2 linked regions of the Caenorhabditis elegans genome follow. The protein of the gene in region 1 interacts with the protein of each later gene in a pairwise test. Each region holds a gene or a part of one and is shown on either strand. Other genes may lie near its edges.

The links.
Region 2: the proteins of Y39G10AR.15 (region 1) and pas-6 interact in a two-hybrid assay, tested with the Caenorhabditis elegans proteins (one large-scale study listed by BioGRID).

Annotation. Positions count from the first base shown.
Region 1 is NC_003279.8:2,323,013-2,330,158, forward strand, and holds Y39G10AR.15 (DUF5523 domain-containing protein), read right to left. Parts: upstream 4,318-7,146; 5' UTR 4,241-4,317; coding exon 4,185-4,240; intron 4,134-4,184; coding exon 3,839-4,133; intron 3,574-3,838; coding exon 3,214-3,573; intron 3,171-3,213; coding exon 2,845-3,170; intron 2,792-2,844; coding exon 2,323-2,791; intron 1,451-2,322; coding exon 1,311-1,450; intron 1,257-1,310; coding exon 1,070-1,256; 3' UTR 980-1,069; downstream 1-979. Other genes in the region: srbc-64 (Serpentine Receptor, class BC (Class B-like)), read left to right, coding at 4,977-5,154, 5,922-6,379, 6,909-7,142.
Region 2 is NC_003283.11:5,582,197-5,587,561, forward strand, and holds pas-6 (Proteasome subunit alpha type-1), read right to left. Parts: upstream 2,148-5,365; 5' UTR 2,139-2,147; coding exon 1,989-2,138; intron 1,943-1,988; coding exon 1,750-1,942; intron 1,701-1,749; coding exon 1,630-1,700; intron 1,581-1,629; coding exon 1,451-1,580; intron 1,401-1,450; coding exon 1,162-1,400; 3' UTR 965-1,161; downstream 1-964. Other genes in the region: CD4.11 (MAM domain-containing protein), read left to right, coding at 2,986-3,031, 3,357-3,648, 3,696-3,778, 4,195-4,300. UniProt on the Caenorhabditis elegans protein: The proteasome is a multicatalytic proteinase complex which is characterized by its ability to cleave peptides with Arg, Phe, Tyr, Leu, and Glu adjacent to the leaving group at neutral or slightly basic pH.

The DNA.
Region 1 (7,146 bases):
GTTTTATTATTTTGAGGGTATCGTAAAGAAGATTTATTAGCTAATTATTACGGGAATACTGAACTCGGAAAATGCGTATTGCACAACATATTTGACGCGCAAAATATCTCGTAGCGAAAAGTACAGTAATTCTTTTAATGACTATTTACTGTAGGTCGATTTACGGGCTGGATTTTCAAAACGAATATATATTCGAAATGTGACAGCGATATCAAACTATTTTGTCATTTTTGTGTTTTCTTTTAATATTTTATCGATTAAAGATGATTCTCGTAAATCGACACCCGTGTTACAGTAGTCATTTAAAGAATTACTGTAGTTTTCGCTACGAGATATTTTGTGCGTCAAATATGTTGCGAATTACGCATTCGCAGAATTTTGTGCCCCCATACTACTTTCAATGCAAAATTAAGTGATTTAGGGAAATTTCATTTAAAACAAATTTTTGCCGTTCAAAATTTGACACGGGGTTCTGTCCTTCCTCATTGCATTTTTCGCGCTCCATTGACAATCGCCAGCGGGACTGGGAAAGTCGTGCACTCCACACGGACAAGTACATTTAGTTTTACAACTAAAATCGAGCCGCGACGCGACACGCAACGCGCCGTAAATCTACCACAGATATGGCCGTGCCAAAATGGCCTACTTCGGCAAAAACTCTTCCAGTTCAATTTATGAGGAAAGCCAGAAATCCGTGAAAATTGAGCCGTTTTCGAGATAAATCGAATTTAAAAATGTGACTACTGTAGAAATTTGTGAAAATATCAAAATTTGCGCGTAAAATTCGATGTATTAGCCAATTAGCATACAATAATTAATAATTGTTTATTTGTCACAAGAAATAGCTACACCGGAAGATAAAGAAAAAAAAGTAAATAAAAAAGATGTGTGGACAAATAAGTAAAATGACCAATTGGACCAGCTATAGCCCGGGAGGTCAAGTTGGGGGGAAGAGGGTGTCAAATGGGATAGAGCCTAGGCGCGACGCAAATGCATTTGGAGTTAACAGTTTAGGGAAACGTTTTGCTATTCGATTCCACAACTACAATTTATTAGAAAAAGCAAGAGTTCAAAGCATATTAGTTTCTCTACAAGACGAAGAAGTAGCAGATGTTGTGGTGGATGATGACGTGGATGGTACCAATTGTGGCACCGCAGGCTTTCGCTCTTTCTTCCTAATCTTCCGCTCACCCCTCGTATATTTCTTCTCCGTGAAACGTTCGCTTTTCCCCGGATTCGTCAGTGGACGGCGTTTTCTGGAACAATTCAAATTTTAATTTTGAAAATTCAATTTAAAAAATATCTAGTACCTAGAATATACGTGCAACGTACACTTGTCTGAAACATTGAAAGCGACTTTTCTCGGCTCCTCAAACGGCGACTTCTGATCCTTTTCCTTTACATTAGGCTTTGACCGTTTTGGGTCCAGCTTCAATCCTTCTGCTTCTGCCTGGAATTATTACACAATCATCGAAAAACTTTTGCCGGTAATTGCGCTCTATTGATAATTTTTATAGTGTATACAAAAAGTTTAGATTAATTGTTCCTGAAAACGTGATATTATCTTTGCTCAATGAGTGCTCAAAATACGGCAGCCGGTCTCGAAGCGACAAATATTTTTTAAATGCAGAAAGGTGTGCGCCTTTAAAGAGCACTGTAATTTCAAAATTTTGTTTCTTTGGAATTTATCGATTTTTCATTGTTTTTCCCAAGAATTTATGTGTTTTATTGTTTTTATCGGAAAGCTTTTTCGAAAAATCGATAACCTCTCAGATATTACGGAAGCACAAAATTTTGAGAATGCGTATTGCGCAACATTTTTGCCGCGCAAAATATCTCGAAGCGAAGTAGCTCTTGTGTCGATTTACGGACTCGATTTTCGAATTGAATCATTTTTTATCGATCGAATATTAAAATTAAGCAAAAAAGGAGAAAATAATACGTAGAATTGAATGAAAACGCATTGATCCCGTAAATCAACACAAGAGCGCTACAGTAGTCATTTAAAGAATTACTGTAGTTTTCGCTACGAGATATATTGCGCGTCAGATATGTTGTTCAATACGCATTCTCAGAATTTTGCGCTTTCGTAACACAAATGTTCAAAAAATCGATAATTTTTTTCCAGCAAGTATGCTTCTTCAAGAAAAAGGCTCTCACAATTCTTGTCGAGATATTTTTGGCAAAAAAATCGCAAAACAGCTGCGCTCTATCAGCTACCGTACCGTGGAGTACGGTGGACACGGTTAATATTTTTCCAACAGCATAAAGCGGATACTGTAGCTCGAAAGCTTTGCTCGTGCCAGGACCCAATCCCCTTACCTTCTTCTGCTGTTCAGTGTCGTATTGACGCTGATCAACCTCAAACATCAGCGTCCCATGAAACGTGTTCGCACAAAGTCTCTTCATTTCCTTTTCCTTTTCCAGCGGATCCACTCCGATCGCCTTATCAACTATCTTCAGTCTCTCCAACGCGTCCTCCTTCGGATCCAAAAACGGATCGGTTCGATGAAGTTTCGGTTGAATCGACGCCGGATTTCCGCTGTGCATTTGTTTCAACGGGCGGTGCATCTGGATTAGAACTCTCGGGACCTGCTCTGTGCCGTCACGGGCTAGCCAAAACGGGCGGTTATTGAGGAACACGTCGTTCCGGATGGCTCCCTTGTTGCTCATACGCAACTTCCACGTCTCCTCGTCAAACAACTTTTTCGGCAGATCCGGACTGAAATCGATCGGGTCGTTCGGATTGTATTCCGGCAGGACATAGGATTTGGTAAGGATTTCTTTCATTCTGCAAAGAATATATTTTTTTAAATATATAACAGGCATCCAGGAAAAACTCACCGCTCAACAGTACAATCCGAAACTGCTCGAGAATTCTTCTTTTTGTAGATCTTCTTGAACAATCCCTCCGCTTGCTCCCGTTGATTCGGCTTCGATGCTACGGGTGTCGCTCCTGGAGCACCCGGTTGCTGAACAACTTTCGAAGGATGCTTCTGCAGCTGCCCGGGTCCTCCTCTACAAGGCTGCTGTGGCTGGACAATTTTCGTGGTAGCCTTTCTCGGTCGTTCGTCGACGGACTTCTGATCGGCTGGGGGCAGTTTGAGGGAACGATCCGTTCTTGCAAGAGTCGGTTGCAAATATACTGATGGATGAGAACGTGTTGTTTTCTAAAAATGAGATATTACTAGTGGTTTGATTGCTAAACCCCACCTGCACAGGCTGCTGTGAAGTCGACTTCTTCTGCAGTTTCGATTTCCGCCCACTTGGCACTTTCCCGTTGTACAGGTTATCCGAGCTCGCATCCTCCGTCGATCCCTTCTTCGTCCCCACAACCTTCTTCTTGTCTTCCGGTGATTTCTTGTTATCATCCTGCGTCGCCGCGTCCTTCTTCTTATGGATCTTCCGATCGGTGATCCGACCACTTTTCTTATCCTTGGTGTTTTGTTTGCTAATTTTCTTGACAACTGGTATTGCTGGTGGTGGTGGCTGTGGTCTAGCTAGTGGTCTCTCCAGTTTTTCGGGCTGCTCCGGTTCCAGCTTGGGCCTTTCCAACTTAGAATTTTGGTCGTCCTGAAAAATAACGAAGTTATGGTGAACTCCCTAGGAGTGAAAAGTATCCCCAGACCACTTAACAAGACGCTATCAGATAAAGCATCATTAACTGGGTCAGGTGCATCCCGATCGCGTTCTGAATTGCATTACTTCGGATATGATGCCAGATAGAAAATTTCCAGCCGATACGCATTCCCAATCAAGTGTATAGTCTTCCCCCCGAACATTCTAAGGTACAAACATACCACAGATTCCATCTCTCTTAGTATATGGTCCCACTCACCAAACTCGTCGGGCCCAGCCAATCGTCATATTGTGAATGTTCTTCACTTTCACAAACTTCTTCTAACGACATATCCCAGATAAGATCAATCCTTTCCTCCTCCTCCGGATCATATTCCTCATATGCCAGCGTCCCTTTCGGCGGAGGGGACTTATGTTGTTTGCGGATCTTCTCGGACGGGAATTTTGGCATGAGAGTCGGCGGGAGCTCCATTTTCTTGCTATTTGGATCTTCTTCTGTGATAGTCTTTACTTTTTCCCCGGACTCTCTACTCGCCTTTATTTTCTTCTTTTCTCTGAAAATAAAGAATTAAGGTTAGCTTTCGAAAATAATTTTTTTCACTTACTCCTTATTCGATTCTCCACTGCCGGCGTTTTTCACATTTTTAAGATCTGGCTCCATGATTTGTTGAGTCTACTATTTATTAGTAAGAGACCGTAGAAATGCCACTTCTTCGGTATTGTAAAATAGAAATAAATATCGACTTTTGGAGTGATGATGACATTTCGAAAAATATAAGATTACGGAAAAAGATGAGAAATACGTGTATGACATCACGTAATTAAAAAAAAAAATTAAAATGTAATCTCTTTATATGTATTTAATTTTTTTGTTGTAAACGGTTCTTGTTAAATTTGGAATAAAGTATTTATCTCTTAAATACTTAATAAAAAATTATTGTTTTTTAAGTCACAATTATTTATGTTCAGCATATTTCAGAATATCTCTAAAACAAGATTTTTTCGAAATTCCAAAAATTGACTAATGAAATAAAATAAAATAAAATAGATATGTATCTGGTTACCTCTAATGTCATATGTTTTGATTGAATATATAAATATATGTATAAAGTAAATATAACCAGTTTTAGCCAATTTAAAATTTATTCATTCAAGATCGAAAAAACACTATGGACAAGTTCTGGACAAAAATTGTGATTTTAGCTGAAAATAAGCCTTTTTTCAGAACTTTGTCGCAAAAACTTTTTCTGTACTACTTCTTTAAGCCAAAGCTCAATATTTTACTCGATGCTTTTTTCATGACGTACGTCCGCACTGATGCTCATCGAAGTATGAAAAAGAGCCCTCATTACCCCTTTTTTTTTTGATATTTCAGTTTTCTTGTCACAGTCTGAAAAATGCCTGAAATAGTAATAATCTTGAACAATTTTTTGTCTGTCGTATTTTCCCAAACCACTTGTATTTTGAATTTCTACCTTTTATTCTCGATTTTCTACTCGAAACGGATCGCATGGAAATCTGAATTATCATTGATATATACTCGATTTGCTTTCGACATGTTTTACACGTTTTTCGGTGGGTTTTTTTGAAAATACGCTCTATTAGAGCTAGGTGGCCGTGAAAAATAGAAAATTCGGCCACCAAAATAATATGCGGTTTTTTTTTTTGAAAAATCAGTCGTTTCGCATGATGTCAGAGTGTCTCATTTCAGTTTGATCTACTTACTTTACAATTAGATCTACAAAAAATGGGGGAAAAGAGACGCAGAGTTCTCAACTTATTTTGCATGGTTAAGAAAGTGCTGACGTCACATTTTTTTGGACAAAAAATTCCCGCATTTTTTGTAGATCAAACCGTAATGGGACAGCCTGCTCCCACGTGTCATTTTGGATAGGCGGTATGTTGCAGAAAAAAGGAATAGAAAATTAGGCCACCGATTTTCATTTGGATTTTGTACTCTTCTCGGACCATCCAAGTGTGTCTGCAAAATTTTTTTTTCATTCCTCAACCAGTTTTTTTGGACATTTAAAAACACCAAAAGTCTTAAAAAAATACCAAAAAATGTATGTATTTTTAGAAAAAAAAAACTTCAAAAATTACAAATTTATGTCTTTTTTGAAAACTCTACTCAAACAATATACCTGCCTAAGCCTGAGCCTCAGCCTAAGCCTATGCCTATGCCTCAACCTTAGCCTTAGCCTAAGCCGAAGCCTAAGCCTAAGCCTAAGCCCCTTTGCATCAAAAAACCCTCTAACTAAAAATTGAATTTTGCTGAGTGGCCGCAAAAGGGAAACCTCAGCCACCAATTTTTTTGGCGGATTCCCAAATACTTTTTTTTCCAGTTCCCCATAACAAGATCTACTACATAATTCGCCAGATATTCCCGGGATTTGTCGTTAAAAATCTATCATTTTATCTGATTTGGCCAACAATTCCACTTGGATGTATTCGTGCGACATTGGTATTTCTCATAACTTTAGATCGAGTTATCGCCTTATTTTTTCCAATTTCTTATCACAATCATCGCTTCAAAATCTCGTTATCAGCAATAATCATCTCAGTTTCCTGTTTTGGAGCGTCCGATCATCTGATCCTATTCGGTTACTGTAGGTATACGGTAGATGTTCCTTTGGAGTGTGACAATTTTAACTGCGTTATTAAAACTTGTTTCTATAGTTATTGGGTCTCAAGAGACCAAATTCAATATATTCTAACCGGTACTTTTTCTGTAATTCTGCTATTTCGGCTGGTGATCTGGAATAATTTTGTGGCGTCGCAAAGGAATCAGAACCTGTCCAGGGTGAGTGGTGGCCTAGAAATTGCAAAAAACTCTTCCATGCCTCAGTGGCCTAGAATTTCAAAAAGCTGTAGCATTTCTGTGACCTAGAACTACTGTCCCAGATATGGTAGTTTCATAAAAACTTAGGCCTAGGTTAGGCTTTGGCTTAGACCTAGATTTAGGCCTAGGTTTAGGCCTAGACTTAGGCCTAGACTTAGACTTAAGTGTAGGCTTAGGCTTAGGCTTAAGTTGGCGTCAGTGGGGGAGCGTGAGCTCCCCCATTGACGCTATTTAGGGTTTTACACTTAGGCTTAGGATTAGGCCTAGACTTAGGCTTAGGCCCAGGCTTAGGCTTAGGCGCAGACTCAGGCTTCGGCTTCGGCTTCGGCTTAGACTGGGAGGAAGAGAGAAAAAAGAAATTCCAGAAAACTCGAGAATTTCCCTTTATCTACGTGGCCTAAAAATTTTAGGAAAATCTACAATAGGTGGCCTAGAAAACTAAAAAAAACTCTTCCACGATGCACCATTTTCAACTTCCATTTTTTTTCAGGCGACTCGAATAGCCCTTCTGGAATCCATTGTCATAATCTGCTTCAGCATAATTCCATCACTAATTTTTTCAACTTTTCCGTCCCTGAACTTTGTGTCAGTTGGTCCATGGACTATTGTTCTGAAGCATGCCGGATTTATGATCGAGGCATTGATTATTTGCAAATTTTTATTGAAAAGAAAAAGCAAGAATGGTATTGGCAGAAATTCGACTGTGCTCACATGGTCACAGTAAATAA
Region 2 (5,365 bases), on another chromosome or scaffold:
AAGCTTATTTGCAGTTAAAAAAAATTTATTTTCCAAAATTAAATTGACTATTTTTAAATAAACACTTGAACTTTTAAATTTACAGGATATATTTTCTTCAGAAAAACAATTTCAAGGATAAAAAAATCATTTCCACGAATCAATGTGTGCACTCGGTGCAAAAGTGTTCGAAAACTTGGTCTAAAAGTGAAGAAAAAGTGCTGAATAGACCTCGCCTCCTGCCGAAAAGAACATTGTGTGCTGGTGCTGGTGGCGGCAGTGCTTGAAGTGAGGAAACGCACGCCACACAGAGCCGCATGGCCCTCCGATGCCATTGGCTCGATACAAATTCATTTAAGGGCGCTCTTCTTTTCTCTCTTCGCTTGTCAGACAAATGGCACAAGGAATGAAAGAAGAATTGGTGGAAGAAACGAGAGAATTCTATTCAGTTCATTCAGAAGCGGCACACACAATGGTGTCGGGCATTGATTGTGGTTCGCTTGGGAAACATTTTTGGTTTTGCTCGTGATCATAATAAGCAAAACCGCTTGTTAGAAAAACAACTTCCAGTAGATCCGTAAATCCTACTTCCCTTTTTTACCTATTTGTGGATTTTTAAATGAAGAAAAATGTATAAAAATTGTCAAGAGCTCCAATCGAAAAACAAAAAAAGGCAGAAGTGGGTCGAAGAAAAGAGTTGACTGCGACAAAGAAGATTTCAATCTCAATTCGACGAAATTTGAAACTCTTCTCTCTTGCATCACACACACTCCTCCCCTTCTTCTTCTTTTGCTCCCCTTTCTTCGCTGATTTACAATTTGAGTGATGTAGTAGTGTATGGAACACTGAAGAGAAGAACTATGGAATAATGCCGTGGAGCAGCTCGCCGGGGAATAGCGGAAGACGGCGGGTGCGTGGTGTACTACGGCGCAGACATCCATCATTAATGGACAGAAGGCATGGACGCGAATGACGAGAAGTGCTTCCTTTAATGTTCTTTCTGCAACATATACATGACTGTTGAACGGAAAAAGGAAATTAATATGTAATCAATCTTTTGGAGCAGGAAAATAATTTAATTCGGGAACGAGAGGGAGATTAACCGGCGATAAATTATACGGGTCACATAAAAAAGAAATGGAGACGAAAGTAATTCACATGGTCTGTGATTCAAATTAGAATCTACATTTGCATTGGTTCGGCGCCACCTGGAGCTGCTGCTGCTGCTGCTCCGCCAGTTGTGCGTGGATGTGTGGAAACTTGGTTGAGATGAACGGCGACTTGAGCATCTTCGAGAAGACTGAATGGAGAATCTTTCCCGACAATTCCAATAGACGTATTCTGAGCGTTGAGGTTTTCTTCGGCTGGAAGTGTGTCGCGAAGAGCAAGGAGAGCATGGACAATCAATTGTTCCGGAGTTGCTGAAAAAAGAAATTGCTCAATTTTATCAATTATATTCCGAAATAAATACATTTCTCGAAGTTATCAACATTTCTCTCGAGGTAAGTGCGCGCAGACTGAGATCTTGCTCCGATTGAAGTTCCATGCATGCTGACGACTTCAGCAGATGGGTCAGTTTGAATGATGTGTGCTCCATCTTTCTGAACAAAAAAATATTTAAAAGAACAATTATATTTATGATGTTCTTACGTCATATCCGGCAATCAGAATTCCAACTCCGAATGGACGACGGCCATAATATTGTGTATTGGCTTGAAGTTCTGAAATAAGAACAATGTCTTGAGAAAATTGCTTCCAAAATTCGCTTACTCAATTGCATAGATTCAGCGAGCTTCTTGATTGGAACCGCTTGCTTGTAATCCCAACGCCAACTCGAGCACTCGGTTTGGAGGTAGCGAGCCAAGATGCGACCATCGGAGAGGAGACCAGCGATGGAAACTCCAGCGTGAGTGTCAATTTCGTACACTTTCTTCTGATGAGACGACAAATCGTTTTGCGCTCTCTGAAACGAATATAATTAATTGAAATTAACATGTTGTTTCGCCAACCTTCAGGGCGACGATGACAGCGTGGGTTTCACTCTTGATTCCAACAGTTGCCGAACCTTGCTTCATCGCCTCAACGGCATATTCGACTTGGTGAAGACGTCCCTGTGGGCTCCAGACTGTTACATCGCCGTCGTATTGGTTGCGGAACATGGTTCAAACCTAAAAGCTCTTAATTACAATTTATTGAAGTTTTTAGCCATTTTTTGCAGTTTTATAAGCAGAGAGTGTGATTCAAGATGAACCAAGAGTTAGAAAAACATATGGAGTTTATTTAAATCCACAGAAACAAAGAAAAAATATTTAGAAGTCGAAAGAAAACCTCTGAAATGAGTTCTAAATTTGAAAGGATGACAAAATAAGCGAGTACGCATACACCACACTTTACGCGCAATTGCTTACCGTATACCTGGCGGCAAAAAGTGAAAGAAATTTCCAGGCATGGAATTCCATGGAATTATGTAATTCTTCTGGTGAAAACTGCGTAAGATCCTCAAAATAATTTCGAAAAAAAGACACTCAAAATCCACGAAGAGAACTGTGAACAAGTAAATATTACACGAAATTGAACGAAAATTGCGAAAACGTGATTGAAAACGTCGAATTAAATTTTGAATCTAATTTTTGAGGAATTGAATATTTAAAATTTAAAATGTTGTCTACTGATGGTGGTGGCCGATTCCCTGACTTCAATATCTTAGAAATTCCTGTTTAAATCTGGCAAGGCTATACTACAAAGCTCTGTCTTTGAAAATCTCTAGTTTCATTTTTCAATCATGTCTATTGAATAATAAATATCTTTCCTCTCATTCACTTTTCTTACCCACTGACCCACTTTCTCTTGTGACTCTCGACAGTGAAACACCGTACCTAATTAGGCAATTTACCAGTAGTTCATATTCATTCTCGGGAGTACGCAATACCACACGCTCATTGAACTTTGAGAAAGGCGATTTGAAATCGAAATTTATATGTTTTCAAACTATTTTCTTCATGAAGTATGGTACTTAATATATATGTCTTGATATTGCTACTTTATGGTTTGAGTGAGTTTTTAAAAAGTTTTGGATTTGAAATCTTTTTTTCTACCAAATTTTTTCTGTCCTTTTTTATTTAAAAAATCATGAAAATTTGTTAATGGTCGCTCTTGAGGTTATTCAAAATTTAAAATTTAATTTTTGGGATTTTAGAAAAATCGCTCATTTTGTAGGGCTTTTTCTATATTGAAAATTGGAACACGGATTAGAACCATTTTGCGTCTAAAATGTAAAAATGCAAAGTGCGGCACAGAAAAATAGGTGTGGTTTAGAGACAAAAGCGCGGTAATTCAAATCAAAAGTTTAGCTAGATATGACCTTCAAATTAATTCAGATACCAGTTTTGCTTGTCACTCCCTGAGCTCTCAGTACAGTCAATTTTCATCTCGAAGAGCCAGAGCTCGCGGAGTCTCATCCCTACAACGTACAAGTGAAAATGCAATTGACTTTGACTACCTCACATCAAATCTACCGTACTCCGCAACTGAAATTCGTTCGATCTCATCTCTTACCCCATTTCCTGTGAAACCAATGCTAACTGTATCCGACGGTGGAAAGCTTACATGTCATTTTGACGATGATATGGAATATTGTGGATGGCATAATGCAGCGGACACTGACATGAAGTTTTTTTTTTCAATTTTAATAGAATTTCAAAAATTACTATTTTTAGATTCTGGAAATCAAAGTTAAACTCAGATAATAATTTTGACTCGCAAAGATTTGACTCTGGAAGTCCATTGAGTTTCACACCAGGTAAGAGGAACAAATTGTTTCTAAAAATCAATTGAAACATTCCAAAAAGATTGAAAAATTTGAAAATTTCAGCAAAAGTTTTGGTTGATGTTAGTTTGAAAATTCTGTATTTAAAAAAAATCCTAACGCTCATATGATGCCAAAATGGCCAAATATCATAGTAAAACGTTCCAAAAAATTTTTTAGATTTTTTCATTGACATGCAAAAAGTGGCAATCACTTAGATTTTGCCACTTTTTGAGAAAACTATATCGCTGTCGCATGTCCGAACCCCTACAATGTTTGAATAGGAGTATTTTTAATTGGCTCATTTTCCTATTTTCAAAAAATCATTTAAACATTAAAAAAAAAATTTATTATTAACTTTTTAATTGGGTAAAAGTACCAGTTGATTTCAACTAATCATAACAATTCAGACAACAATTTTCTACTGGCTGGCGGCGAACCAATGATTCTTCCACAGACTGCTGCAATTGAAATGGAAATTCCATGTCAATATGGAGATGCTGAAGTGAAATTCGAGTAGGTCTTCGAGTTCACAGCTACGTTGTAAAATCTCGGATCTTTTAATTTAATTTAATTTAATCTTGATAAAGTTAACTTTTAACTAATTCATCTGAAAAAGCAAATAAGAAATAGGATTCTAGTTTTTCGATTTTTAATCCCTATTATATTCTCATTAGAAAACAAAACTTTGAAATTTATGTATCTACATTTGGTAAGTTTCATCACGGATACCATACTTTTTTCAATAAAAATTATTTTTTGAAACCGATAAATCGGAAACTTTATGGTTTTTTAACCGAGATTGCATATCCAATTTAGCTTTTGACCCTTGCAAGATTCATTCTGAAAAACAGAAAAACAGTGATAAAGTGTTCATATCATGAAAGGGTTAACTTTTAACTAGATTTTCCAAAAAAAAACTAACAGAAACCAATTTTAAATCCTTATTGAATTCTCGTTTCAAAAAACCAAAAACAACGGTCAAGTTGGTGTCGATGGGAAGGGTTTGTATTCTGTTAGGAACACGGGTTTGGCATCACAAGGACACCGGGCTCTCCTGCAAGCAGAAGAATGACTGGGTAACCCATCAACTCCGGACCGATGTGAGAGAATGGAGAATCGCAGTTGTTTATATACCCGTTCACGGCCGAGCGGCAAACATGTTCGGGTGAAAGTAAGATATTTTTTCTTGTTACGAAATTTGTCACAATTGCAATCGCTAGCTGTCTCTCTGCATTTCACATGAACATGTCTGCCACTCGGCCGTGAGCGGGTATATAAGCAACGCCAATTCTTCATTCTCTCACATCGGTCCGGAGTTGATGGGTTACCAGATTAATTCTTCTGCTTGCAGGAGAGCCCGGTGTCCTTGTGATGCCAAACCCGTGTTCCTAACAGAATACAACCCCTTCCCATCGACACCAACTTGACCGTTGTTTTGTTCTTTTTCAACGATATTCTAACCGGAAAGATGAACTGATTTCATTTGGTTTCTCAGAAGGACTAGAATAATTTGTAAACTATAACTTTCTCATGATCTATGAAATTTACCACTATAGTACATAGGTTTCTCTGATTGCA